Canis lupus familiaris: one gene and its partners. The protein of the gene in region 7 interacts with the protein of the main gene of each other region in a pairwise test. Links are inferred from orthologs where the notes say so. Each region holds a gene or a part of one and is shown on either strand. Other genes may lie near its edges. The genes, in order: BIK, DRAM1, SFT2D2, GJA1, FIS1, SLC30A2 and CREB3.

Region 1 (3,091 bases), on a different chromosome or scaffold from region 7:
GGCCAGCCTGGCCGGAGGGAGGCATGTAGCTGCACATGCCAGATGGGCTTTCATGGGCTCTGGGGCTAGCGGAGGGCAGGCCCCGAAGAGGCAGCTGCAGAGGACGTGGGCACGGGGCTGGAGCAAGGGGGGGCCCAGCCCAGGGCTGGCATCTGAGACGGGAACTGTGGTGGGGCAGGGGGACAGTCAGAGCCCAAGTTCCAGAAAGAGGACCTGACTGGGTCTAGAAACAGCACTGGGCCCAGGTCTGGGGCAGGCTGGACCCTCACGGGGGTGCCCCTCATCTAGCCCCTTCTCCCTGCAGGCCGCACTGTCCAGCGGGGAGTGCTGGATGAGCAAACCTGGGGAGGGCAGGCAGCCCAGCTGTAAGACTGAAGGCCCAAAGGAAATAATCCCTAATGGTAGATTCAGGCACCAGGCACGACGAGAGAAGGCATAAACCTGATTGTGTTGGGCCAAACTTCACGACAGCAGGTGCAGGAAAGAGCCTGCAGGTGTGTGATCACGTACAGGTGCTTGCACACGCCCGCCCTCTCTCCCCCTCCCCCTTGAGTCTCCAGCAAGGGGCCAGAGCCGGGCGGCAAACCCCAGAGAGGACCAGAGACCAGCTGGAAACAACATTTTATTGAGCTCTCCTCAGCCATCAAATCTATTCCAGCAGATTTTCTCTTCGCCCAGGGGCCTTCCCGACATGGGGGTGTGGCCAGCACTCCCCCCCCAACCCCCGCCGCCAGAGGAAGGCTCCAGGCTCCTTCCCTGCCGGGTGGTGGTGGCAGTGACAGCACCCAGGCCACCTCAGGGGCTGAGGCCAGGAGAGCGGCCCAGCCAGGCCTTGGCGCGGGCAGTTAACCAGTAACGACCCCCGAGGTATAATGAATTCATTTCTCTTACAAAAAAGAAAGAAAAAACTAGTATGAAACCTCAGTAGTGTCCCAGCACTCGGAGTTTAAATATAAAAAAAGGGATCAGCAGAAAACAGTTAAAAAAGACAACAAAACCAGCAAGGCCACCTCCAGGGTGGCGGTCGGGCGGGGGCGAGGCCAGCCCCGTCCCCAGCGGCTCCAGCTGGTATCACTGGAGGAGGCGGAGGCCCCAGCCTAGTAGCAGCACCAGCAGCAGCAGCAGCGACAGCACCAGCCCGCGCCCCGGGTTGGGGGACACCTGTGGGATGAAGGGCGGGAGAGGTGAGACCTCCAGCCGGGGCCGGGGGTGCTCAGGTGCCCCCCACGTGTGCTCAGGGGCACGGGGTGAACCAGGGTGGCTGAGAGGGTGCTGGAGAGTGGGTCAGGGAGGCGGGGACACAGGAGCGTCTCCGGACAGCACAGCTCACAGGTGGGGACAGCACCCAGAAGCCAGAGCACAGGTGGGCCGGGGAGACGGCCCGGGAGGCGGCAGAGGAGAAGCCTACCCAGGCCGCCGTGGGCACCAGTGGGGGCTGAGCTAGGGTAAGGGACGGTCCCCGGTGCTGCTGGGACAGACAAGGAGGGTCGGGAAAGAGGCTCAGGAGAGGCACCTGCCGGGCAGAGGAGCGAGGATGGTTAGGGAGGCTCACGCGGGGCTGGTGAAGGTGCTCCCGGGGGGTGGGTGGGGAGCCGGAGCATGGGTGTGGGAGCAAACACGCCTGAGAACTGGAGCATAGGGTGGGGGGCAGCCCAGGAGGCTCAGCGGTTTAGCGCCGCCTTCAGCCCAGGGCATGATCCTGCAGGCCCGGGATCGAGTCCCGCATCGGGCTCCCACACGCACGGAGCCTGCTTCTCCCTCTGCCTGTGTGTCTGCCTCTGTGTGTGTGTGTCTCTCATTAATAAGTAAATAAAATCTTAAAAAAAGAAAAAAAGAACCGGAGCATGGAGCTGATAAACCAGGGGTCTCCAAGCTGAAAACCGGGAGAAACGAGGGCAAGCAGGCACCACAAGACAACGGGGGGCGGGGAGGAGCAGTCTGTGGCACCCGAGGACATGCTCTGCGGGGCAGCAGCTCCGTGGCTGCAGGTGTCACCGCAGGCAGGCGGGTAAGTCAAGGTCACAGAGTTCACGGTTCATTTACCCTGTTCCGGAAGGTCAGGAAGCTCCAGATGCGGATGTTCTCCCTGAGGTTAGCAAGACCATCCAGGAAACTTCTAAGAACACCTCTCAGGCCTGTCTGGTTGTAGGTAAAAGCCAAGCTGTAAGACAAATGGGCAGGGAAGCAGGGCCATTACTGCAGGGAACAGGGGCGGAGATGGCCTTTATTTCAGGGGACCCCCGCGGGGAGAGGAGGGCGGCGTCCCCTCCCCCCCACACCACTCTACCCCCTTCCCCGGGTGGATCCACCAGAGGTTCTCTCTCCACGGGCCATTTCTGGTCCTAATGCATCTGATTTCCTGTTTCCTTCCCCTACCCACCGGCCTACCGGGGGTTTTGGTCTTGGGTTCTGGAAAATGCTCCACTGCTCACCGGCCCAAGGACCTGCCGGTCCTCCCTCCGGAGGATCTTTGCTGTGATGGAGGCCCAGGCACCCCAACAGAAGGCTGCCTCCCTGGGGACCAGGAGACCACAGTCGCTCTGGCTTAGGGGGAGGGTTTCCACATCCCCACCTTGAGAACCCAGAGATGCTGGCAAATGGTGGAAGTACACAGTGTGCTCAGGACAGATGCCTCCCGGCAGGACACACGGCTTCGCCAAGCTCACCACTTCCTACCAGCACTTTAAGTCAAGACCCTTTCGGAAAAGCACAGTCTTGGCTTGATGAAGAGGCAGAGGAAGGCACTGGGTTGTGCTTAGTCTGTGGCCCAGGGGCAGGGGCGGGGCAGGAGGTGGAGGGCTGGGGGGGGCACCACCTGTACATGGCCATCCCGGGCAGCTCGCCAACGCGGGGAAGCATCCATCTCACTTCCATCTCGTCCCCGATGAAGGCCAGCCGCATGGCCACATCGTCGGGGTTGTTGCTGTGGGGAGGGCACAGGGAATTAGGGGTGTGGCCGTGTGGTGACCCCCATACACAGGCCCACCTGGCCCACCGGGCCCCGGATTTGTGGGAGGCAAGGGGCGGCACAGAGCAAGGTGGGGGGCAGGGAACCTTCACATGCCCCTCCCCTGGCCCCCACTTTGCTCCA
Region 2 (3,610 bases), on a different chromosome or scaffold from region 7:
TATTTCTGATTTTTGCAATTTTCCATGCTCAAGTGAATATTCTTTATTTTTTGGTGAATATTCTTTTAAATACATCTTTGCATATTGATGTAAGTTCCCCTATAAGGTACATTTGCTGAGTAAGAGTTCATACATATCTAAAACTGTGATAGCCATCCATGTAGTCAACATTCAGTTTGTAGGTGCCTAGGGTGTGGTAGGCTCTGTGTTTATTCTTAGTGCTAGGGACCCAGCTGCAGAAAGACAAGGACCCTGCGGTTGCGGAGATTAGTTTGTGACTTTACTCTCCAAACCAGTAAGTGGTATTTGGTTAATTGATGAGCTCTTCAAAAAAAAAAAAACACCTTTAAGTACTCTCCTGACACCATTCACAAAAATCAACAGCAATGAAAGGATTAACCATGCAAAGCAAAACTGTGAGATAATAAAGAATAGGAAAGTGCTCTTAAAACCTGAGGGTGGAAACTCTTATCTGAGCTTACACAAAACCCAGAAGCTAAACAGGAAAGGACTGACGGATATAGAAGATAAAGAAATTAAAACTTCAAAGTGAGAAAGATACAGAAAACAAAGTTAAAGATGGACTAGAAGAAAATTTGTAATATTTACGGCAGATAATCCACTAAAGTACATAATGTGTGAAAAGCAACAGCAAATTAAAAACAAACAGACAAAGTCAAGAGAAAAATCAGGAAAAAAAATTGAATGTGATTTTCAGAAGAAGAAATGCAGGTGACCAGTAGACATACTGAAAGTTTTCCATCTCACTAATCACCAGAGAAATGCAGATTAAATCAACAGGTTGCGATTTCTCCTTCATTAGATTGGCGATAATTAAAAAGGCAAGAACATGCAGACCTGCTTTCGAGCTTTACTGTGAGAGTATAAGTGCCACAAAACCGTGTTGGGGCGATTTGTGGATACTTCTTGGTATTTTACTAGTGCACACTTTTAGCTCCAGTAATACTACTCCTAGGAACTCGTCTTTCAGAAGCACTGAAAGTGTGCTGAAGCCTTGTGTACAAGGCTTCTCACTGAGCATTGCTGGTAACAGGGAAAACACTGGCGATGTAGGAGCCCGACATGAGGGGGCAACAGACTAAATCAATAGGGCGATGAGACCTGTAAACGCAGTGAGACAGTGATGCAGGGCGAGCTCCACGGTGGTGTACTTTATGTGAGAGAGAAAGAAAGTCACAGGATATGTGCACAGTAGCTTTACATGAAAAGGGCAAAAGGCAAGCTGGTGTGTGTGTCTGTCTGTCACACGGAGGCGGAATAGGGGGTGAATGGGAAATGACGGCAATTAGGAGACTGAAGTAGAGACTCAAAAAAAGCAATGCAAACTGTCCCTGTGGTTTTCGTTCTGAAAGGTCAAATAGTCACAATTCAGCAAAGTGCCTTTTATCCTTCCAGGTGCAGCCACGATGTACACGAGATATAAAATAGTGGAGAAGCAAAATCAAACCAGCTATTTCAGCACTCCTGTTTTTAACTTGGTGTCGCTAGTGCTCGGCTTGGTGGGCTGTATCGGAATGGGCATCGTGGCCAATTTCCAGGTACGTCCTCGGTTGTTGGCACCCTAGCGGCTGAGGGGGCACGTGGAGGGCAACAGCAAGGGTAGAGGCTGCCTGTGTGGTGGGGGGGGGGGGCAAGCATTTAAGTGGGGTAGGTTGCTTCCTAGAAACAGGTCTTTATCATCTGAAGGTCCCTGCAGGGGAGACTGGGCGGGCGGCGTGGGGGGCATGGGGAACCCGTTGCGCTCAGCAGTGATCAGCCAGGTTGATGGTGGGAGAGGCCTTGGGTCACTGGGACAGCTCCGTTAAGTGTGGAAATATTGGGGGTGCCCGGGGAGCTCTGTTGCTTGAGCCTCCGAGTCCTGATTTCCACTCAGATGGTGATCCCAGGGGCCCTGGGGGCCCGGGATGGAGCTTGTCCCTGTCCCTCTGCACCTCCCCCCGCCTGGGCTCACTCACTCTCTCTCTCTCAAGTCAATAAATTAAATCTTTTTAAAAAAGAGTATGAAGATATTTGTGTGCACGAGCATGTGTGCGCAGGTTCGCAGAGCGGCCTCCGCCCGGCAGCCTCGCCTGCCCGGGTTACTCAGCGCCCTCACCTGGGAGCCCAGGCCTCGGGGCGGCCTGTATGTGCTCTGCAGTCCGCTCCTCCCACAGCAGGTGGGGGGCAGTCCCGGGTCTGTCCAGCCTGTGGCCACTGGCTCCTCCCGGCCTCGTTCTGGAAGCATGGGAGCTGTTTGTCCATGGAGACAACATTTCATGTTTTAAAAATACTCATTGTATATCGGGTTTGCAAAGGGGATGGGGAGGGCTCCGCGCCACGCTCCGGGCCCAGCAGGCTGAGGGGGGGCCACCGCGGCGGTCGCCGGCACAGGCTAGCACTGCTTGGCGGGCTCCGCTCCCCACTGCGGTGTCTTTGCGGCTGCACAGAGGCCGAAACTCCGGAGGGCTCATGCTCCTGCCCATGGACACCGCCTTACAGAATTTTCCCGTCTTGCATGAGGCTTATTTTCTAAAGAGGTGTTGGCCTTGGCCCCTGGCCACCGCTGTCCCTCGCCAGAGCCAGGCCGGGCGCTGCACCTGTTCCATCCACTGTCCGCTCTCCGTGCACCTGCCGGTGCCCCTGCTGCACAATGTCAGGAGCGTCACTGTCGGGCAGTCTGTTCCACCTTCACGCATGCTCTCACTGCCCGCGGGGGTGCCGCCTATGGGGGTCCACCGGCTGCAGGGGGGTTGCTGGCTGCGGGGGCTGGGGACAGCACAGTGCTGTGGGAAACTTAGCACCGCGCTGTGAGGGGTGAGGGGTGAGGGGGGTGGACACCTTCCTGACTGCGCGGCTGCTCCTGGGCGCTCTGCAGGGCAGATAATCTCTTGGGTCTCAGGGCTCACGAGTTTGCTTTGCTTTGCTTTGCTTTCTAGGGAGGGGTGTGTGTGTGCAGAGCGAGAGAGGGAATCCCAAGCAGGCTCCACGCTCAGCCCAGAGCTCCAGGCAGGGCTCCCTCCCGTGACCCTGAGGTCAGGACCCGAGCTGAAATGAAGAGTCGGACACTTTACCAATGGAGCCACCCAGGCGTCCCACGAGGTTTCATTCTTGAATGTTCTAAAGCCCCAATCATTGTTTCCTCGTTGACACTGAAAGGTGCAAAGGGGAGAGACAGGTTGTACCTCCACAGGCAAGTGCACAGGGCTCGGTGGAGCGCACTGTGCAAGTAGATTTGCCTCTTGCTCCATTTGACTTTCCTACCCTCGTTGTGCTTTTATGGTGAAATAAGACAAAGGCTATAGCACATGGTTTCAGGTGACTTTGGTCACATGGGGAGACTCTTTTTCATGATCGTGTGCACTTGGTTTTTCATGACAACTGATTTATTGAAAATTTCCTATGTGACAGAATTTATGAAAACCTTCCGTGCTTTAACTTCTGTCATCCCCATAACAGCCTCAGGAGACAGGTGGTGTCCTGGTCCTGGTTGCCAGGGGACACGTGGGCCTGACGGGTCATTCTGTGTCCCGGTCGAGCATGGCAGGGCAGCCGCGGTGGGGATGGAAGCCACCGGCCAGCAATGGTAGGAACCGGTTACCTTCCAGCCAGA
Region 3 (3,610 bases), on a different chromosome or scaffold from region 7:
GAAGAAGTGGAACAGCACTTTCCTCTTGCTGTGACCAAGCGTGTAAAAGACTTGCAGTGACTCTGGGTGGGAAAGCACACGGATGAATAGTTATCTGTCCCTCTCCCCTCATTTTGCCAAGTTGGATGACGTGTGGATGGAAATTCAGCTTGAGGGACTTGTAGAATCAACATGTCACTTTCCTTTCTGAAGGAAGAAACCAGAACTGCTTTTTCCTTGTGTCAGCTTGATCTTTACGAGGACTGGAATCTCACTGTCCTGTTGAGACCTTTTAGTACTCTAAATGCCAAGGCCACCTCAAACTTGACACTTAACCTTATGGTTTATCCTCTTAAAATATCCCTCCTGATGCCAAATAGTGCTCGAGCCATGAATCTAATCCAGTTCTGTTGTCACACTTGTCTCCCTGTGCGCAGGTCAGTTCTTACTTTCTACCTTGGCAAAGTAAGCTCTTTGTTTCTTGCATGAGTAGGAAGAGTGGTGTCTTCTGATTTTATTTTCTTCTTGATGGCATCTTGAATATGTTAGAAGTCAGACCTGATTGTCCAGGTGCCTGTCCAGCCTGGTGACAGGGCATCATGTACCTCATTTTGGAGGAGGGGTTTTCCTCAGCGTGGAAGCAGGTGGCCCATCTGTGAGGTCCCGATATCCTGTTCCTACTGTGTGTTACCATCCCCAGTGGTGCCTTTCTGTGCAGTGTCCATTGGTGCCACATGCTTCTGCAAGTGCTGTGTGTGTGATGGGGAATTGCAGTGTCATGAACCCCCTTTAAATATGTGTGAATAGAGGCGCGCCTGGGTAGCTTAGTCGGTGAGGCATCCGACTTGTGATTTTGGCTCATATTATGATCTCAGGGTGGTGAGAGCGAGCCCTGTGTCAGGCTCTGTGCTAGGCGTGGAGCCTGCTGAAGGTCCTCTATTGCTCCTTCTGTCTGTCCCCCTCTCCCTTTCTTAAAACGAAACAAAAATATATGATTATATATAGTTGGAGGAAAAGCTGTTTTGATAACCTGCCCTGAATACTACCTTTCTCCCGAAGAAATGAAGCCATTCTGTAGCAATGCTGGCCACCCCTGGGAGAGCCACTAGTCCTTCTCTTCAAGCTTCTAGTTTGGTAGGAAGTTTGGAGACACGATTGAGAACAGTCCCTGAGCTGGGAACAGTCAAGGCTGAAGGAGTTGCCGGTCCAGCGGCCCTTGCAGCTTCTGCTACCACTTTCCTTCTTGAGCTGGTGGGAGTGTTTTCTGGCAGCTTTCTCTCATTGCGGGATGGAGACTGGGGGGCCAGACAAGGTGAGCCTTGTGTGAATACACTGGCTGGCTAGGCAGGACTTGCAGTCTCAGTGGCAGCTGCCTGTCCCCAGCTTGAAGCAGCCATGGCCCCTTTCATGAGGTGGACAGACTAGGAAGGTCTCTTGCCTAAGTTCTCTACACATGGGGGAAAAACTTGTGGGGGCTACTTGCAGGCTGCCCTGTTTTAGCAGAGCTGTTTTGGGAAATCTTGGCATCCTCTGAACTTTGCTCTGGGGAGGGATTAATTACAGTCAGATGAGTGGGGCAGTAATGAATTAACTAGGATTTGTCTCCCACTTGGGTGACTTGGCTGGTGCCAGAAGTGAATAGATTCAGCTGAAAGCCCTGGCACAGATGACAGCTGTTAATCCTTTGGGCTCTCAGAGATGCTGCTGTCTGCTGTCTTGCCCCCGCTTGCCGGGCCCCTGCCTGGCGGGGGTCGTGCCTGTGCAGTTGTCCTTGTCCTGCCACGGCTATGGCAAGGGTTCTGGCTTCTCTAGGGCCTACTGTCTTGCCTTACTGTGTGCGAAGTGGTTGTGCTTCAGGTGGAGAGTTTCCACCTCTGGGGATGTTCATCTAGAAGCTCAGTAACCTCTTAGCCGCTGCTGGAGAAGATTCATGGATGGATAAGGAGCTGGATTCCATGACTCGGCTCCTGTAGCTCTGAGTGAGTGAGTCGGATTCTTTGCTCCTGCCTTCCTCAGCACAGACTCACACACTACATCTCACTACTAAATCTCATTGTTTTTGGTGCTCAAATATGCATATACATGTATGTAATCAGTTTTTAAAAAATTTCAGGTTGTTGAGGCATCTTCATTAAGCTGGAGTACCAGAATAAAAGGCTTCATCGCGTGTTTTGCCGCAGGAATTGTCTGCTCACTACTGGTAAGATGTTCCTCCCCCCCACCCCCCTCAGCTTTTCCCCACCCTGTCCCTCCTTCCCTCCATCTCTGTTGTTCACTTCCTTCTCTCTTTTGCTCTTTGTGAGAAGCATGGCTGGGAGAGAGAGATAAGGGAGGTGCTGAGGGCGGTGGGAGGGGAGAGTGGGTGTCTCTGTCCACCCTTGATTATATGGCTGTGGCAGGAGGGCTTTCTCCCCGTGCAAACGCCCTGTGCTTTACCTTCCAGGGAACTCTTCTGCTCTGGGTGCCCAGGAAGGGACTGTACCTCTTTGCAGTGTTTTATACCTTTGGTAACATCGCATCAATTGGGAGGTAACTGTTTATTTATTTTTAATCTAACCATAGCCAATCACTAGATGGGACAATGGGTGTGGATTGTGCTCAAGGAAGATGAAGGAGGATGCTTTATTTTTTTTAAATTTTATTTTTTAAAGATTTATTTATTCATGATAGACTCAACAGAGAGAGGCAGAGACATAGGTAGAGGGAGAAGCAGGCTCCTTGCAGGAAGCCCGATACAGGACTCGATCCCAAATCCTGGGATCATATCCTGAGCCACCCAGGTATCCCAGGAGGATGCTTTAATAGTTCGAAGGATGTGGTGAGTAGTAGTTAAAATACATCACATCCCCCCCAAAATAACATACATCTTATATCCTATCCCTTCAAAATATTTTAGCATATATATGTATTTTTTAAAGATTTTATTTTGAGATGGCTGGGTGGCTCAGTTGTTTAAGCATCTGACTTTGGCTTGAGTCATGATTTTGGGGTCCTGGGATCTAACACTGCATTGGGACTCCCCACTGAGCCTGCTTCTCCTTCTGTCTCTCCCCCTGCTTGTGCTCTCTTTCAAATAAATACATAAATAAAATCTTGTTTTTGAGAGGGAGAGAGAGGGATTGTGCATGAGCGCATGAGGGGTTTATAGGGGAGGAGCAGAAGAGAGGGACAAGCAGACTCCGGGGTTAGTGTGGATCCCGACACAGGGCTCGATCCCACAACCCTCAGATCATGACCAAAATCAAGTTTTCGGACATTTAACTGACTGAGCCACCCAGGCGCCCCACCCTGATATTTTTTATCTTAGTTTATTTTTGAAATCCCCTGGGATAAATTTATTGTGATTTTTATATATGAGGGAACCGTGGCACACAGTGGTTGAATGATTTCTTCCGGCTTGACAGCACGATCCTCTCTGCACTCTGGCCTGCAGCTGCCAGAGATTGAGTGGTGGTTTTAAAAGGCTCACCGCACCAGAGGCTGCAGGTGTGATGTATTATTATTCTGTCCAGATAAGACCATCTCAGACCTGGCTCTTGGCTCATGAGGGCAGGGCAGCTAACAGAGTACCCCCTGGAGGTGGACAGCCTATTTTGCATGCTGCAGGTGCACAGATATCCCAGGTCAAGTG
Region 4 (4,269 bases), on a different chromosome or scaffold from region 7:
GTACAAAACTGTTTATGTAGCTGACATGCAAGAAGAAAAGTATGATACTCCGCATTTTTACTAATCATCTCTGATGAGTTTTAAAAAGGCATTTGAAGAAACTGGTAGATTTCTTTAGGGTACATTTCAAATAAATTAGTTACATGGTAGATTTCTTTAGGGTACATTTCAAATAAATTAGTTACATGTGTACTACTGAAACCTCTTTCAACCTCTCTTGCATTCCAAATAAAATCTTAGTGCAAACATCAAAGTTGCTGGTCATTCCAAAAGACAATCTAACTCTTAACAGTATACAAGTTCTGAATTAATGTGTATTAAGTAGGACAAAACCAAGAATACCAGTTACTGCAAAATTCATTTAGGCACACTTAAAAGCCCACTCTAAGCATTTCTTCTAAGTGTCTCACATTAATTACTAAAGCCTGTTTACAGTACTAAAATTCTATCATTCAAGCATCCATGATTACATTTCAGAAAAAGAAAATCATCCATTTCAGCAATAGCATTACTGCTATATTCTAAAAAAGAGAAAAAAGGGAAAAAATCATAATTAACAAAACCAGTATCCACAATAGGATACATGGGAAAAAAACACTTAGGGAAAGAAAAAAAAAGTGTGCTTTACTTGCACAGCAGGAATTATATAATGTAAACACCATATTGGCCCACACCACAAAATCCATGAGAAAGGCTCAAATTTGAACACTATGTGTGCATTATTTTCAAATCTGTGTTTGTGAGTTTATACTGCTCTGCTTGTACCAATACATGACAAATAAAACACACTCTTCCACACACATACACATAGAAGTGATTGTTAAATATTGAGCATGGCTTGATTCCCTGACTCTAATTCAAAAAATGTTAAGTGATATCCCCACGGTTTTAAAAATCTTTACAGAAACCATTAAATGAATGTGAACAGTTGTTGAGGAATGATGAAAAAGTGATGGCATTAATAGGATGCAAGTAGATGTTAAAAAAAAATAATGTACATATGACTGGCTGAGATTTGAAAATGCATGGAAAGTCTTTTTTCTGTGGGCCCTATCTGAACTTTTAACTGATACCAAGAATAGAAAATATAGTATCACAAGTCCACAGACACCTGGAGGGTCCCACCTAGGACGCTTACCTTCAAAGTGCAAATTTTAACAATGGAATGTTTTTTAGCAGGGACATAAGGACAATCCTCCAACTTCTTCTTGATAAAAGGAAACAAGATGTCCAGGAAGTATTTTTCTTTTTTCCCGGCCAAAGTTATCTCAGTTTCATGGTAAAACAAAAAAGTACTTAACCAAATATATCACCCACTCTTTCACATATACAGCACTATTCTTAGGGTGTGTGGGGGGGAGAAAAAGCCCTTACCTATGTATCACCTAATGCAACTTATATTTAGAACTAAAGTTCTTTGAATAAACTACATTAAATACCAACTTGTACCTCCCGGTTCCCCTCCCTCTCCACCCGCCTATCCCAAACACCCCCAGTGAACCCAGGTATTCTAATGTCTTTGTGTTTTCTAAGCCTCACGATGAAGGCTGTTGAGTACCACCTCCACTGAAACAAAATGAACGCCTAAGGTGCGCTTTCTACAGCACCTTTTCTCTTCTCCACACTGAGTGGAATCAATGCTCTCAAGCCTGGATCTAGATCTCCAGGTCGTCAGGCCGAGGTCGGCTGCTGGCACGGCTGCTGGCTCTGCTGGAAGGCCGCTGGTCCACAATGGCTAGTGGCTGCAGTTCATGCCCAGCGGCTAGTTTTTTAGAATTCTGGTTGTCATCAGGGAAATCAAAAGGCTGTGCATGGGAGTTGGAGATGGTGCTTCCTGCCTGGCCCATTCGATTTTGTTCTGCACTGTAGTTAGCCCAGTTTTGCTCACTTGCTTGTTTGTTGTAATTGCGGCAGGAAGAATTATTTCTGTCTCCAGTAACCAGCTTGTACCCAGGAGGAGACATGGGGGAGAGGGGAGCCGTGGGTGAGGAGCAGCCATTGAAATATGCATATTTCGGAGATCCACAGTCTTTGGAGGGGCTCAGTGGGCCAGTGGTAGCATGGTAAGGATCGCTCTTGCCTTTCACGCGATCCTTAACACCCTTGAAGAAGACATAGAAGAGTTCGATGATGTTCAAGGCAAGAGACACCAAGGACACGACCAGCATGAAGATGATGAAGATGGTTTTCTCCGTGGGGCGAGAGAGGAAGCAGTCTACCTGATGAGGGCAGGGTTCTCTTTTGCAAGTGTAAACGGCACTCAAGCTGAATCCATAGATGTACCACTGGATCAGCAAGAAGGCCACCTCGAAAACAGACTTGAACAGGATGCTGATGATGTAGGTTCGCAGCAGGCCCCCTCGCATTTTCACCTTGCCGTGCTCTTCAATTCCATACTTGAACTTCTTTATTTCAATCTGCTTCAAGTGCATGTCCACGTTGGCACCATCGGTTTGGGCAACTTTGAGCTCCTCCTCTTTCTTGTTCAGTTTCTCTTCCTTGCGCATCACGTAGAACACATGAGCCAGGTACAAGAGTGTGGGGACAGACACAAATATGATCTGCAGGACCCAGAAGCGTACATGAGAGATTGGGAAGGATTTGTCATAGCAGACATTTTCACAACCAGGCTGTTGAGTGTTACAACGAAAGGCAGACTGCTCATCACCCCAGGCCGACTCAACCGCTGTCCCCAGTAGCAGAATTCGGAAAATGAAAAGGACAGACAGCCACACCTTCCCTCCAGCGGTGGAATAGGCTTGAACCTTGTCAAGGAGTTTGCCTAAGGCACTCCAGTCACCCATGTTGCCGGGGCACCACCTGAAAAGAAACGAAAGACAACTAAATGATCACAGACTGTAAAGTATGAGTTAAAATGTATAGTTGTCTCCAGTTGAGAGTCAAAATAAGATAAAAGGTCTCCTATCTTTCTAGCACTCTTCCAAATTAAAAAAAAAAAAAAAAATAAGTTCAAACTCTTCCTGTCCCATTTCCCCCTGCAAACAAGTCTCACAATTTTCTTGAGATATGGTAAATCTTAGAAGCAATAGAGCCGATGTCCCCAGTAAATGGCAATCTTAACTTGCAAAGGACAGGTTAACTTGCTCAACCACTGCCCCACCATGTGACTCGAAAAACTGTCTATGCTAAGTGCCTCTGCTTATTTTATCCGTCTGATAAATGAGGGCAATTCTTGCCGGGTAGGCCTGTGTCTGGATGCATGCCTAAGCAAAATGCTGAAAGGACGGTTTTCAAAAAGTACAGGTGTTTAAGAACTGAAGTAAGAACGCCCCTGAACACACACACACACACACACAAACACACACACACACAACCTTGTTTCCAAACCTCCATCCTATTATATAGAATTTTATCCCTAATTGTACTCTGAACTGTTTCACCTTGCTCGTTCAAGTGTAATTAGTGCATATTTTATAATAGGGTCATTTATACTTCTCTGTTTCTTCTTAAGCAGTGACTTAGGTGGTTCAGAAGTCTGTCTTCTGCCCAGAGAAAAATATGTTGTACTAAAATACGCCATTTTGACACGATGTGTCATTATGTGCAGGAAACTACTTTCAAAAAAGCAAAGTCTAAATGCACATCACATTTTTTTAAAGATTTATTTTATTTTAGAGAGAGAAAGAGAGAGAGTGCATGAGCAAATAAGCATGAGTGGGGGTGGAGAAGACTCCCTCCTGAGTGCAGAGCCCCACATGGGGGCTCGATCTCAAGACCCATGAGATCATGATGGGAGCCAGAGCGAGCCGGAGACCTGACCCACTGAGCCACCCCGGTGCTCCTGCGCATCACATTTCAAGTAAAAGTTCAATTTGTCTCAATACTAATTATAGCTTAAGAAATTTTTTTAAATTACCATCTTAAAGTGTTATCTCTAGCAAAAATGATTGGTTTTCATCTTTAAATTACTATATACCTTCAAGTTCCCTTATCAGGCTTTGCACCCTCATCCTATACACTAGATTTAACTTTCTATCAATACCTAGATATCTTAAGCCTAGGACTTCCCCATTGTTGGGAGTGTGAAATGGACTCAATTCTGTAGAGATGACATGGATGTCAAAAGTTACTTGGCTAATTTAATTTATACTTCTAATTGCCCATAGTTCATTTAACTGATGAAAGTTGAGCTCTTAAAGGTATAGGAAATATTCAGCTACCAGTAGAGCTACAAGACTAATGATCCCAAGACTAAGGACTTCCAATGCACCACACACTGGTTTTAAAATCATAGTGAAGCTGGATTAA
Region 5 (4,409 bases), on a different chromosome or scaffold from region 7:
CTCTCACTTTCCCTCAGTGACCTGGCCTGCCATCACCCTGCACCTCTGTACCCCCTGCCCATGGCCCTCTTCGGCCTTCCCAATGGCCAGGGCTCTCCCCTGGTGGAGAAATGAGAGGATGCCGGTGGCCCACCCAAGTAGGGAGGGGTAGGAAAAGGGGCAATCTGCCTTACCTTGAGCCGGTAATTCCCCACAGCCAGGTAGAAGACATAATCCCGCTGCTCCTCCTTACTCCCCTTGGGCAGCAGTTCTAGGGAAGGTGGGAAGGGAAGAGGGTGAAAACTACTTCTCACCTTTCCTAGTGCTTGTGTGTCAGGGACCCCTTCCACTCTCTGACTCCCTGTATGATCCGGGGAGAAAGTCACTGTCCTGAGCTTCCGTTTCAGTTCCAGTGACTCTCGACTTCCCAGTCGGACCTCTCAGGCAGTGTGGACCCAGGCTGCTGGACACCGGGGTGATCAACACCCTGATCTCAATACTGCCGTCAGCTCTGGTTCATCTCAGTAAACTGAGAGGAAATCAAGGCACTGGAGAAGCCAAAGGCATCTCGACTCACTTTGGCACCTGCTGTGCATTCTCACTGCCCTTGTTTGCTGCCCAGATTAGTGTTCAAGTAAGTCTGCACTCCCTCCCCCTTTAAAAAAAGCAACTTGAAACTCATCTTCAAAAAAAAAAAAAAAAGAAAGAAAGAAACTCATCTTCAATTAGCATTCCCTGAATGATGCAACCTGACTCTCTCCTAATTCAGGGACTTCTCATAGGCTTATGTGCTCAGTTGTATGCTGTGCAATGGGATCTGTGTGGCTAAGTAGTTTGGCAAGTGTTGACAAATCTTCCCAAGTGTCTGTCCTGTCTCCTCAACAGGACTGGCGATGCTTAGGAGACCACACCTACAGCTGTGCACTGCTCTGCAGGAAACCTGAAAAATCTGAATGAGCGAAAGGGGCAAACATAGGTGGAAGTGATTTGCATCAGAAAAGATTCTTGTTTTCATAGATTTACCATGGCCACCTTTTGGCTGTACACCATTTTAGTACATGATTACTGACCAAGAGAAAGGGGATGCAGGGCACAGAGAAATTTAAAGCTCATGTGCTGCGTACCTCTGACAAATGGTGACCCATCCCAAACCAAGGGGAAGTAGGATTCCAATAAAAAAAAGGACCATCTGCTCACAGGTTTTGGAGACTGTCTTCTGCACTTCTTCCACGCCACCCTCGTGAAAAATTTTCAACAGCTGCTGAATAAGCAACATGGTGGGGACAAGGAGCAAGGGACTGGGACACACAAGACAGGCGCTTCTAGTCCTAATTCAGCCACTAATTCATTAGCTGTGTGACCTCTAACAAGTTCCTTATGGTCAACTACCAGATCGCCTAAGTCCTGCTGGGACTGTCCTGCGCTGACTGGCAAAACAGGGATGAGGTGGTAATTAGCCAAAAGCACACTGGGAGAAGCCAGGCTAAGGGGCAGCCCTTTGTTGCAGGTGTTTATGGGAAACTAACTGTGAGGTGACTCCTCTAGGGTCCCATGTTGAAAAGGGATCCCAGCACTTTAGATGGAGGGAGTGAACGAGGCCATGGCGGCAGAGAAGGGGAGAGCCGCGTAGCCTAGCACCTCACCCTCCAGCAATGCGATGCCTTTACGGATGTCGTCGTTGTACTTGCTGCGCACCAGGCACCAGGCATACTCAAACTGCGTGCTCTTGGACACGGAGCCTGCTGCCTTCTCAGATTGAAATTTCTTTTCAAACTTCTGCCATAGGAGAGGAGAGGAGTCATTTAGAAATGAAGAGGCACGCCATTCTCTACCAGGCCCTGCGTGTCCATTTCCCAGTCACACCCCATCTTCCACAGTCTCTGCCACATTTCCCTCGCGGATCTTGACATCTGGCCTCCCAGGTTCTGCTACCTTCATCCCTTGGACCCAGACCCAGGCATCCTGCTTCTTAGCGGCGGGCTGTCTCCTTGGACAGTACCCCGGTCCGTGTCCCTCCCCCTAGTGGTACCGAGCGGAAGGGCCACCTGGTGGCGGCTCCAGGCACCGCTCCGGAACCAGCTGACCGGGAGCGGCTAAACAGTAAACATGCTGTCAGAACTGCTCAACAACAGCCCACGCGATCCCTCGTCGGTGGCTGCTTCCCCCAACCAGCCCCCTGGTCGGGTCTGGACCTTTTCTTATCTGCAAAATGGGAATTAAAACAGTGCCCACCTCCTAGAGCTACAAAAATTGAGATACGACCTGCAATGCATTTAGCACCGTGCCGCATTATATGAAACTTCAAGGTAGTCTCTATACTCTCCCGACACTAAAGGAATAGTGGGGTGGGGAGGGGGGAAGAAGGTGTCCGCACTCTGACCTAACTCCTGCACGAGCCCAGAACCTGTCAGCCTTTCCACGCCAGACAAGCAGGCCCTGAGTCTGGGGCGTGGTGGCCCGGGAAACTACAACTCCCATTAGGGTACGCGACAAAGTAGAACCACCGGGCAGGGGCAGGGCGCTGCAGAGGATGCCGGGAGCCGTAGTTCGGCTTCTCTAGGCTAAACTGATGCTGGGTAGAGGGTCTGGCCCCAACCGGACTCTCCTCGGGACCCGCCCGTCCGAAGGTTCCCTTTCCCTCCCTCGGGGCCAGGCCTCACCAGCAGGTCGTCCACAGACACCAGCTCGTTCAGTACGGCCTCCATGGCCGCCGCCCCTGCAATCCTCACACCTAAGTCGCTACTGTGCCACCGTCTCCATGGCCTACTGGCAGGGCTGGAGAGCCACTTCCGTCGTCCGGCGGAAGTAGGCCCCCTCCCCAGCGCAGAGCCAATCACCTCACGCAGCTGATGCCAAGCCCGCCCACTGCCGGTGGCGCCCCGCCCCTTCCTCCCAGCGCCGTCAGCGCACACCTTGGGGCACTAATGCGCACGCTCCGACCGGACCACCTTGTTCCCCCACCTGCCGACAGCTCTAAGTCCCACGTTTGTCCTCGCGGGTGCCGCGCGTGTGCCCTCCTCCACCGAGGCTGCCTTAATAGAGTTTGGGCCTATGTCTTGGTGGTTAGCCCTTGGGCTGGAAAAACAGAAAAAGGATGGTGGAGAACCTGGCATGATCTTGAAGTTTGGGGGATCACTTCCCCTCCGGCCTCACCCCCTCTAAGTCTAGGAAATTGGAGGCTACGTTACATTTGGGTGCCTGTCACAAAACCATAACCTGGTACCAAGGTTTTTAGGGCCTCTGCTGACTTACGAGAGGATTGACAACTGGACCTGTTAACCATACACCCAGAGACTGGAATACATATGAATAGGGGATACTATGGAAATCTTAAAATGTAAAATAAATAAATAAATAAATAAATAAATAAATAAATAAATAAAAATCTTAAAATGTGAATTTAAAGAAAAGCTGTTACCCCATTACTTGTAGAGATGGTCCAATCTTTTAATACTTAGAGCATCCTTTGGGTGTGCCTGAGGGGGAAGATGTGCTGTGGGTCATGGGCAGGAACATCAAAACATGGGAAAGGTAAATGTTCACTCCTCTGGCACCTGTGCTGTGCAGTGAGGGGACTGGGTAGGTAGTGACTTTCATTCTTTTCACCTTCACCCACAGTGCTCCAGGGCACAGTGTAAGTTCCATGAGGACAGAGCCTGGATCTTATTTATCTTTGCATCCCTAGCACCTGGCACAAGATTGAGGTCCAATAAATATTTGTCAAATAGACATGAAATAAAGTGAACATAGTAAAGAGGGGGATGCAAATGCAGGGAATTGTGATCCAAACACCTTTCATGTTTGCAAAGCCCCTTTATTTATTTATCTATTTTAATTCTCTTAATAGCCTTGTGAGTTAGGTCAGCAAGGGATATTCTCTACTTAGCTCCAAATGAAATGACTTTGATATGGGGAGTCTGTTAAAGAATGAAGAGGAGAGGATAGGACAAGTTCCTAAGTACACTCTGCTATTCATCTTGAAGAAATTCAGGTGTAAATTTGTAAAATTTTGGTGATATACAGTAGAGGACTTCCCTTAAGCACCAGGGTAAACTAGGAACAACTCAGGTTAATTTGAAACCTAGAAGGAAAAGCAATCCTGAGAAACCATTTGTTTCAAGTACAGTAGGAAGATTAAAAATGAAACCCCACAAACTACCACCAATGCTGCTGATATTGTAATACTGGTTTCACAGTCTTGGGTAGTGGCCAGTATTTTAAATTCACACTATTTGTCAGTTTGTAATTATACATTTGTGTGATAACTTGATGGATGACACCCTCTCATTTGAGACTAGAAGCTACATGAGAAGTAGGGTCTATGTCTCTGTTGCTCCTATGATGCACTTAGGGCCCAACTCAGGGCTCACCACCAGTAGATACTCAATTTGTAAATGTTGCATAAGTAAATATTTCTGTTGCCATCATTA
Region 6 (4,274 bases), on a different chromosome or scaffold from region 7:
CAGGAACCAGAGCTCAGACCAGGAGGAAATTCTCGTCCTGCGGCCTATGCATGGCCTCCTTCCACTGAGAGCAGGTGTGCAGATGTGTGTGTGAAAAGTGGGAGGGAGGCCTCACAGGGAACTGAGGCCACACTCACATGATATTCACGGCCACAGCACAGCCCGATGTGATCAGCATGGTCCCCCCTTCGATCTCATAGTCCCCAGAGATTAGCCGCTCCACTGCCAGGAACACCAGCACTCCAGTCACGACCCAGATGGACAGTACAGAGAGCAGGGCTCCCAGGATCTCTGAGGAAGAACCCAACCCCCAACACCAATCTTAGCGTGGGGCCTGAAGACTGAGGAGGCCTCCCCATCTCTCATCCCTCCATGATCCCTCCGCCCCTCCCCTGCAAAGTCAGGGCCTGGATCCACCTCGGCTCTGCGGACGGTATGGCTGGCATGGTCATACCTTACCTCACCACACATATGTCAGATCACATCAGAGCTAGAAGGAGTTTATGAAGTCAACCCTTTTTGTAAAGAAACTGACTTTCTAAAATATGTACCTATTGCTCAGCTGACAAACTGAGGCTTCTGATGGGAGACTGGGCCATCCCCCATGAAGAAAATGACAATGCAGCTCAGAGATGAACCAAAAGGGTTTTAAAGCCTATATCTTCCAGAAGGCTTTGCTGGCCTTTCCCCCCAGAGGAAATTATTCCACATGGAATTACGTGCAGAGTTGATTCCACTGTCATTCGTTCTTGAAGTCTGGCCATTTCATTTCTTAGGAAAGTGAACTCTCCTTCCCTGCAGACCAGAAGTTCCCAGAGGACAGGGAGCCAGGGCTCCCCCATCAGACTAGGACCTAGCAGAAGTCAGAAGCCACAACTCACATCCTCTTCCCCAACCCAAATCACCCTCCTGGACTCACTCAGGGATCCACCTATGGCAGCCACCAAAGAACCTATGTCTTGACCTACCCCTTCTTCCAATCCCATCCGCACCCCAACCAGGGTCCTTACCAGCTCGCTGCCAGCCAAAGTTCATAGTCTTGGTGGCTGGTCGGGAGGACATCCAGAGAGAAAAGAGACTGACGAGCATGCTGGCAAAATCGGTGAGCAGGTGGGCTGCGTCGGTCATGACTGCCAAGCTGTGAGCTAGGTACCCACCTGCAGGAGCAGGACCAGGGAAACGGAAAAGTTTTATCAGCTCCTCATGGAGCCAACTTCCCAGACTGGGCATGCAGCAGAGAAATCACAGGTTCTGGAGAAAGACTGTGGATTTGGGACCTCTGGACCCAATAGCTGTGTAACCACGGGCAAGTGACTTTCTCTAAGCCTCAACTTCTGTCTGTGAAATGGGACTGACACGATCTACTTAGAAGGTGATTGTCAAAATCAAGTTCAAATAGGGCCTGGAAAGCATAGTAGGCACTCAGTAAATGGTCTTTCCTTCTAGGCATTATTCAGGCCATCCCTTACACACTGGATGTGTGTGACCTTGAGCAAATTACTTAACCCTAATGTGCCTCAGTTTCATCATCTGTAAAAGAAGAATAGCAGCACCCACATGACAATACAAGCTTGTCATGAGGACCGGATGAGAAAACCTGTATATGAAAGACTCAGTGTACTGAATATTCAACAGCATAGTGAATATTCAATAAATGGGGCTACTAGTTTTTGTTTTGTTTTGTTTAATTAAATAGGCTCCACACCCAGCGTGGGGCTTGAACTCACGACCCTGAGATCAAGTGGTACATACTCTACCGGAGTCAGGCAAGACGCCCCGGGGGCTACTAGTATAATATTACTGAGAACATCCTGGAGGAAAGCCTTTTGGATCATGAGACTATCCATGTACCCAATTTCATTTAATTAGCACAAAAGTCCTTACCAACGATTTCCCCAATCATGAACACCAGGCAGATGGCAGAGGCCACATAAAGCTGTCGCCGGGCCCGCTCCTTCTTGGGCTCGAGGTGACTGGCAGGACCCTTCTGGGCATGACAGTAATGGTTACTCTCAGCGACTAACTCAATGGCCTGCAAGTCCAGGCCAGGTGAGGGCAGAGGGATCCAGCCAGTCCCCTCCTGCCACAGAGATCCCGTGTAAGACCTGGCCGGAGAGGACGGGAGAGGGCGGACTCAGCTCTGAGTGGGGGGCAAGGAGGGCCGACTCAGTCCTCTCTCTGTGGGCCTGGGGTTCCCATGTGTCCAACGAAAAGAGTAGCGAGGGGCACGCCAAGCCCGACCGTCACTGAAGGGTAACCAGAAACTCATGTGTGGAGTCGGGGTGCTGGGGAAATGACAGTCCAGGAGTCTCGGGGTCTTGGCCCAGGGTGTCCCTCCCCCCCCCCCCCGCCCCCCTCTCCCGTCCCGGGGCCCGGAGGAGGCAAAGACCTTGGGCACTAGCCAAGGCGCAGGGCCAGCGCAGCCAAGCACGGAGAAGGAACAGAGCTCAGGCTCAGGGAGGAGGGCAGGCGCCCCTCTTGTGCACCTGGGGACCCAGGGCCTCCCAGGGCGGGACTGCCCGGGGGCAAAGTGTGGGGCGGGGGCGGGGCTCCAGGCACGCGACAGCGCACCAGCGCGCGGGGGTCAGGCTCCCGGCTCAGTCGCGAGGTGGGGGGCTGATCCCCCCGCCCGAGCTCGGCATCCCCTCCCCCGCCTCCCGCCGCCCCCTCCGCGTGGGCCCGGCCGAGCCGCCGGCCAAACCGTCCAGCCCGCGGCGAACCAGGAGATGCGCCCGACGCCGCGCCCTGGGCCCCGCGGCTCCCGCCTTACCGGGTTCCGGACTTGGTGTCCACCAGGTGCTGCTTCTCCGTGGGCTCCATGCGGCCCGGGCCGCCCCCGCGGGGTCCGGGCAGCCGCGCGCCGCCGCCGCGTCCCGTGCGCCCTGGGAGTTGCGGGCGGGCCCCCGCGCAGCGCGCACCCACCTGCCGGGAGGGCCCCGCTCGCCGCCCGCCCGCCCGCCGGCTGCTTCCCGCCGCCGCTCCCGCCCGCGCCGCGCCCGGCCGGCCCCCTGCAGCCCCGGCCCCCGCAGCCCGTGCGCGCCCGCCGCTGCGCCCCGCGCCCGCCGCTTTATCCGGCCCCGGCCTCCCCGTGTGAAGCTGCGCGTCGTGTGCAAAAGGCCGCGGGGTGGGGGAGGGCAGGCCGGCCGCAAAGGGTTCCCCGGCGCTGCCCCGAGCGCTCGGCCCCGGCGCCCCCGGGCCGCGAGGAGCCGCCCCCGCCCGACTTGGGACTGGGCGGCGGCTGCGCGCACTCTCCCCCGCGCTCGGCCCGCCGCATCCCGCCCAGGAGTTCGCCGAGCTCCGTTTGTGGGATTGGGTCCCCTGAGAACAGGAATGCGGCTCCCGAGGCCAGGTGTGTCTTGCCCTCAGGCTGGAGACTCCTGAGGCCGGCTGCGTTCTTGGGCTCGGGCTAGGGGTCTCCTGGGGCGGGACGTGCCCGCCCTGGGCCTGGGGCAAGGGCCTCCTTGGGACTGGCTGTGACTGACTGGCTGTGACTCCCGCCTCCCGCGCGCCCCGATTGCTATCTGGAGTGGCTTTATCTCCACCCTACACGGAGCAGTGTGGCCCTTCAGCAGCAGTGACCATCTGCAAAGAATCACCGCCACCCTCCCTTCCCTGCCCCGCAGCATCTCACAGAAGCCCCAGGAAGGTGCCGTACGTGGTGTTCCGCGGGAGAAGCTGCCTGTGTTGGCCTGGTGCACCCACCACCCACTTTAAGCTGTGTCCTCTCACAGCGGTCCCTTGGGGGAGGTGGTGTCAGGACCTTATGGCCTAGCCTAATGGATGAACTCTGATGGATTATATAGAAAGAACTCCGGACTGCTGACCTCTCTGCCCAGTCACTCCATCATCCCCAGTGTCCTTGGTCTAGGGGACCGTGGCTTGGCAATGTCCCTTCACGTAGACAAGTGTCTCAGGTGCAAGTCACTTGTCCACACCGCTGGGGATAAAAAGGGACACCTCAGTCTCTCCCAGACAAAAGTCATTTTATTTGGAGACTAGGTGCAAGGAGAGAGGATGGCAGCACCATGCCGCCCTAGACTGGGTCCCCACTGAGTGCCTTTCCACCTCCTCTGGACTCTGTGAAAAACGTTTACCTTAGGTTTTGTGGTTTTCCTGGTATAGTCTAAAAACCAGTCCAAATCAGCAGTACTTGGAAAAGGTGTTTAAATGCAGGTTTCTGGGACGCCTGGGTGGCTCAGCGGTTGAGCCTTTGGCTTGAATCATGATCCCAGAGTCCAGAGATCAAGTCTATCATCGGGCTTCCTGTGGGAGCC
Region 7 (4,158 bases):
CCCAGATACCTGCAATTCTAGTTGAAGCCCAGATCCCTAACCTGAAATGAGTTTATCCTATCTCTGGGCTAGAGAACCCCTGAAACTACGTAGGAATGAGACCTCCCTGCAAAACGAGAGCACCTACCTACTGCCAATCTCTTAAATTCAATATATCCAAGGTCAGCTACCCTAACCTCAGCCATAACCCCCATAAAACTAACCCTAATCCCTAATATTAACCCTGACCCTAATTTGGTTCCTGTTTCCCAACACTGGCTTTGACATTCATCCCTTTCCTGGCAGACACCCGTCCCCAATCCTTGATCCCTAATATTGATCTACTTTTTACCTCTAGGAATGAATTTCCTGACCTTAACTCTAAATGTTGATCTCTAAGCCTAAAACTGTTGTCTCACTTGACTTCTGATCCATCCCTTCGCGATTTATCCCTAGTTCCATGCTAATGTTCTCTAATCCCTAAAAAACTGGACTTCTAATTTAAATCCTGTGTTGACCCTTAAACCGGCCCTGAACCCTAACTTTGACTTACGTTGGCCAGAAACAGAATAATGACCTAATCCAAACTCTACCTACATAAAACGGACCCGACTCACACTGGTAACTCTAAATGTCAACTCCGGTTTTTAACTCCGTAAGCTAACCTTTAATTCCTAAACCCAACTCTACCTAATTCCCAAACTCACCCCCAGCTTTCCTACCCGCATACTCACTATCAGCTAACCTCAAAGCCGATCCCCGCCCTGCGCCTCACTGTCACCCAACTCCTCACCCTCCCCAAAACTTATTCCAGACAGAGAGGACTTGATCCCAGGAAAGGCTTGGCTCCCTTAAAACGACCTACTTAACTTCCGATCCCAAGCCGAGATACACTGGACGCTGACCTCTCCAACAGGACCCGAAACAGCGGACGCAAGGGCCCCGCCCGCCCTGCCACCCGCGCTGCCACCCGCGCTCGCGCTCGCTTCCCGGTCCTGGCCGTGCGGCCCCACCCTGAGGCTCCGGCTCGGCCCGGTCCGGCCTACCTGCGCTGCCCGGCTCGTGCCCCGCCCGCCGGCCCGATAACCCGCTCGCTCTCCCGGTGGTAATCGGGCTTCGGCCTCGCCCTCCCTTCGACACTCTCTCGGCCACTTCCGTCCCCGGAACGTCCCCCACCCGCGGGCGGCGCCCTGGGCCCGCGCTCTATGGTTGTGGGGGCAACAGGAAGCTGCTCTGGCCCCAGCTCTCGATGCTCGGGAGCCGGCCTTAAAAAGGCGCCCCCCCCCGCCCCCCGGCCGGCTCCCCCGGCAGGAAACAAGGGTGCGGCGCAATCCGGGAAGACGCCCGAACTGCGCGCGAGTTCCCCTTTGGTCTCTAACCCTTCCTTTTTTTTCAGCCTGGGGCCGAGGCGGAGGCGGCCTCCCAGATTGCCCGCCCTCAGGGTGTGAGGAGGCCGCAGGGACGTCCCCTCTATTTGCAGAGCTCCCGGGACGTGGCGCGCCGCGGCTAGGCCACTTCCGCGTCGGAGGGAACTCCAAATCCCGTGGTGCCTCGGGGGTGTGCGCGTCACTTCCGTGGTGTTGGAAGTTGCGGAGAATCGGGTCTTGGGGGCTGGTGCAATTTCAGAGCGACAGGTCCGGGCTTGCGGATAGGTCTCTCTGTACATCTTTCCGGTTGTTATCCGGTATGGAGCTGGCGTTGGACTTGGGTGACCAGGACCTGCTGGATTTCCTGCTAGAGGAAAGCGGCGATTTGGGGGCCGGGCCGCCGCTTTCCGAGGTGGGTGGGGGCTGCGAGCCGGGGAGGCGCGGGGATCCCGGGAGAGCGTTCATGGGGTGGTGGGTAGTTGATAGGTCAAGGCTTGTTTATTTGAACCCTGTGCAGGCGTTGAGTGAATGGGAGGCAGAGGATTTCCTGAGTTCCATGCTGAGTCCCCCAGCATCGTTGAACGTCCTTAGCTCCTCTGATTCCTGTCTCGTGCACCATGATCACACCTACTCTCTCTCACAACAGCATGTTTCCATAGATCTAGGTGAGTCTGAAATATGATGAGGAAGAAAGTGAGGTTTGAGGGGAGGAGAGGCTTCGTGGGTCTGGCTATTTATACTTTTCGTTTTGCAGATGGTGGGAGCTATGGAAAAGAAGAGGCCCAGACGACCCCACTGCAAGTGGAGGAGCCCGCAGAGCAGGTACTTGATTTATGGCGGGATCATTCCCACATTGCGCGGGTGGGGGCGGATTCCCCATTCCTTTCTGTCATCCCCTTGCAACTCTGCTGCCCACCTCCTGGTAACTAATCCCAGGAGATTGCTAGGCTGATACTGACAGATGAAGAGAAGAGGCTGTTGGAGAAGGAGGGGCTTACTCTGCATGGGACGCTTCCTCTTACTAAGGTAAGACTCCCATTGGTGGGAGTGAAGGCTGGAGGGATGTGTTGTGGATCCCAAGTGTGCACTTCTGTTAACTTTATGTCAGGAAGGACTGAGGTTAGAAAACTTGGCAAATTTGTTGGTAATAGGAAGCTGGAGCATGATGTTAATATGGTGGATGCAGAGGCAGATCCTGGTTTTGTGGGGCTCATACAAGTTTTGGTGTTTTCTTTGAGAAGAATTCAAAATCATCGATGCAACATTAGTGTAGGGTCTTGGAAGGGACTGTGCAAGCAAACTCATGGTAATCCACCTGTAGCTAAATGGTTAGAGTTCATCAAGGCTGGACTAAGTAATATAGCAAGAATAATTGTAAAATCCCAAGTTTTAAGTTTCAGGCAATGAATAGCAGCTTCACAAGCACAGTATTGTGGTACTGTTGTGAAACCAACACTACAGGAAGGTTGAGAGAATTTTCTTAAAAGTACAAGATGGGTTAGTTTGAGATGACAGAGAGTGGGGTTTGAAGGCTGTATCAGTAGAGGTGTTGCCTCTAGAAGGGCAGTGACCATCTTCTTCTCCATTATACTGGCCAGAGCACATCTTAGTGTCTAGTTTTGAACCCAGATCTTTGACAGATATTAAGAGGATGCAGTCCATCCCGAAGAGAGGTGAGAAGTTAATTTTTTTTTTTTTAAGATTTTACTTATTTATTCATGAGAGACACACAGAGAGAGGCAGAGACACAGGCAGCGGGAGAAGCAGGCTCTATGCAGGGAGCCCGATATGGGACTTGATCCTGGGACTCCAGGATCGTGCCCTGGGCTGAAGGGAGGTACTAACCTGCTGAGCCACCCAGGCATCCCGAGAAGTTAAAATTTTTGCCCAGATCTTTTAACTCTGAAGAAATGTTAAATGGCTTAAATTAAAGACTGTTCATTCTGGGATCCCTGGGTGGCTCAGCAGTTTAGCACCTGCCTTCAGCCCAGAGCGTGATCCTGCAGACCCGGGATCGAGACCCACAGCAGGCTCCCTGCGTGGAGCCTGCTTCTCTCACTGCCTGTGTCTCTGCCTCTCTCTCTCTGTGTGTGTGTCTCTCATGAATAAGTAATAAGATCTTAAAAAAAAAAACAAAAAAAAAACCTTCATTCTATATGGTCTCAGAGATAGGTACCAGGTAAGTTCAATTGATAGAAATCATAGAGGCAGATGTCGGTTAGCTTAGGATAAGGAAAATTTAAAGATTTTTTTTTAAAGGTTTATTTATTTTAAATCTTTTTTTTTTTATTTTTATTTATTTATGATAGTCACAGAGAGAGAGAGAGAGAGAGGGGCAAAGACAGAGGCAGAGGAAGAATCAGGCTCCATGCACCGGGAGCCCGATGTGGGATTCAATCCCAGGTCTCCAGGATTGCGCCCTGGGCCAAAGGCAGGCGCCAAACCGCTGCGCCACCTAGGGATCCCGGTTTCCTTATTTTAAAGAGAGATTGTGCTTGTGCATGCAAGCAGCAGGGTGGGGCAGAAAGCAAGGGAGAGAGAATGAAAATCTCAAGTGGACTCCCTGTTAATCACAAAGCCCAACGCGGCACTCCATCCCATGATCCTGAGATCATGACCTGAGCTGAAGTCAAATCAGGAGTCAGACTCCTAACCAACTGAGCCACCCAGGTGCCCCAAGATTTTTTGTTTTGTTTTTATTTTTAAAGATTTTATTTATTTATTCATGAGAGACACAGAGAGAGACAGAGACATAGGCAGAAGGAGAAGCAGGCTCCTTGAGGTAGGCCTGATGTGGGATTTGATCCCAGGA

What was found.
Region 1: the proteins of CREB3 (region 7) and BIK interact in a two-hybrid assay, tested with the Homo sapiens proteins (2 studies listed by BioGRID and IntAct). The two-hybrid records come from large-scale screens. The link is inferred for Canis lupus familiaris from reciprocal best matches to the Homo sapiens genes CREB3 and BIK.
Region 2: the proteins of CREB3 (region 7) and DRAM1 interact in a two-hybrid assay, tested with the Homo sapiens proteins (2 studies listed by BioGRID and IntAct). The two-hybrid records come from large-scale screens. The link is inferred for Canis lupus familiaris from reciprocal best matches to the Homo sapiens genes CREB3 and DRAM1.
Region 3: the proteins of CREB3 (region 7) and SFT2D2 interact in a two-hybrid assay, tested with the Homo sapiens proteins (2 studies listed by BioGRID and IntAct). The two-hybrid records come from large-scale screens. The link is inferred for Canis lupus familiaris from reciprocal best matches to the Homo sapiens genes CREB3 and SFT2D2.
Region 4: the proteins of CREB3 (region 7) and GJA1 interact in binary tests that used the Homo sapiens proteins (3 or more experiments, as listed by UniProt). The two-hybrid records come from large-scale screens. The link is inferred for Canis lupus familiaris from reciprocal best matches to the Homo sapiens genes CREB3 and GJA1.
Region 5: the proteins of CREB3 (region 7) and FIS1 interact in a two-hybrid assay, tested with the Homo sapiens proteins (2 studies listed by BioGRID and IntAct). The two-hybrid records come from large-scale screens. The link is inferred for Canis lupus familiaris from reciprocal best matches to the Homo sapiens genes CREB3 and FIS1.
Region 6: the proteins of CREB3 (region 7) and SLC30A2 interact in binary tests that used the Homo sapiens proteins (3 or more experiments, as listed by UniProt). The two-hybrid records come from large-scale screens. The link is inferred for Canis lupus familiaris from reciprocal best matches to the Homo sapiens genes CREB3 and SLC30A2.

What each region holds. Positions count from the first base shown.
Region 1 is NC_049231.1:23,375,588-23,378,678, forward strand, and holds the end of BIK (bcl-2-interacting killer), read right to left. Parts: intron 2,924-3,091; coding exon 2,816-2,923; intron 2,162-2,815; coding exon 2,044-2,161; intron 1,162-2,043; coding exon 1,072-1,161; 3' UTR 605-1,071; downstream 1-604.
Region 2 is NC_049236.1:41,068,664-41,072,273, forward strand, and holds part of DRAM1 (DNA damage-regulated autophagy modulator protein 1), read left to right. Parts: intron 1-1,416; coding exon 1,417-1,559; intron 1,560-2,936; coding exon of another isoform or gene 2,937-3,099; intron 3,100-3,610. UniProt on the Homo sapiens protein: Lysosomal modulator of autophagy that plays a central role in p53/TP53-mediated apoptosis. Not involved in p73/TP73-mediated autophagy.
Region 3 is NC_049228.1:30,200,793-30,204,402, reverse strand, and holds part of SFT2D2 (vesicle transport protein SFT2B), read left to right. Parts: intron 1-2,092; coding exon 2,093-2,179; intron 2,180-2,422; coding exon 2,423-2,508; intron 2,509-3,610. UniProt on the Homo sapiens protein: May be involved in fusion of retrograde transport vesicles derived from an endocytic compartment with the Golgi complex.
Region 4 is NC_049222.1:61,513,689-61,517,957, reverse strand, and holds the start of GJA1 (gap junction alpha-1 protein), read right to left. Parts: upstream 2,821-4,269; 5' UTR 2,805-2,820; coding exon 1,656-2,804; 3' UTR 144-1,655; intron 102-143; 3' UTR 1-101. UniProt on the Homo sapiens protein: Gap junction protein that acts as a regulator of bladder capacity. A gap junction consists of a cluster of closely packed pairs of transmembrane channels, the connexons, through which materials of low MW diffuse from one cell to a neighboring cell.
Region 5 is NC_049227.1:8,555,405-8,559,813, reverse strand, and holds the start of FIS1 (mitochondrial fission 1 protein), read right to left. Parts: upstream 2,801-4,409; 5' UTR 2,685-2,800; coding exon 2,640-2,684; intron 1,756-2,639; coding exon 1,623-1,755; intron 251-1,622; coding exon 174-250; intron 1-173. UniProt on the Homo sapiens protein: Involved in the fragmentation of the mitochondrial network and its perinuclear clustering. Plays a minor role in the recruitment and association of the fission mediator dynamin-related protein 1 (DNM1L) to the mitochondrial surface and mitochondrial fission.
Region 6 is NC_049223.1:73,317,764-73,322,037, reverse strand, and holds the start of SLC30A2 (zinc transporter 2), read right to left. Parts: upstream 2,892-4,274; 5' UTR 2,821-2,891; coding exon 2,771-2,820; exon of another isoform or gene 2,678-2,770; intron 2,106-2,677; coding exon 1,885-2,105; intron 1,158-1,884; coding exon 1,011-1,157; intron 292-1,010; coding exon 138-291; intron 1-137.
Region 7 is NC_049232.1:52,553,975-52,558,132, forward strand, and holds the start of CREB3 (cyclic AMP-responsive element-binding protein 3), read left to right. Parts: upstream 1-1,269; 5' UTR 1,270-1,665; coding exon 1,666-1,758; intron 1,759-1,863; coding exon 1,864-2,011; intron 2,012-2,100; coding exon 2,101-2,168; intron 2,169-2,282; coding exon 2,283-2,372; intron 2,373-4,158. UniProt on the Homo sapiens protein: Endoplasmic reticulum (ER)-bound sequence-specific transcription factor that directly binds DNA and activates transcription. Plays a role in the unfolded protein response (UPR), promoting cell survival versus ER stress-induced apoptotic cell death.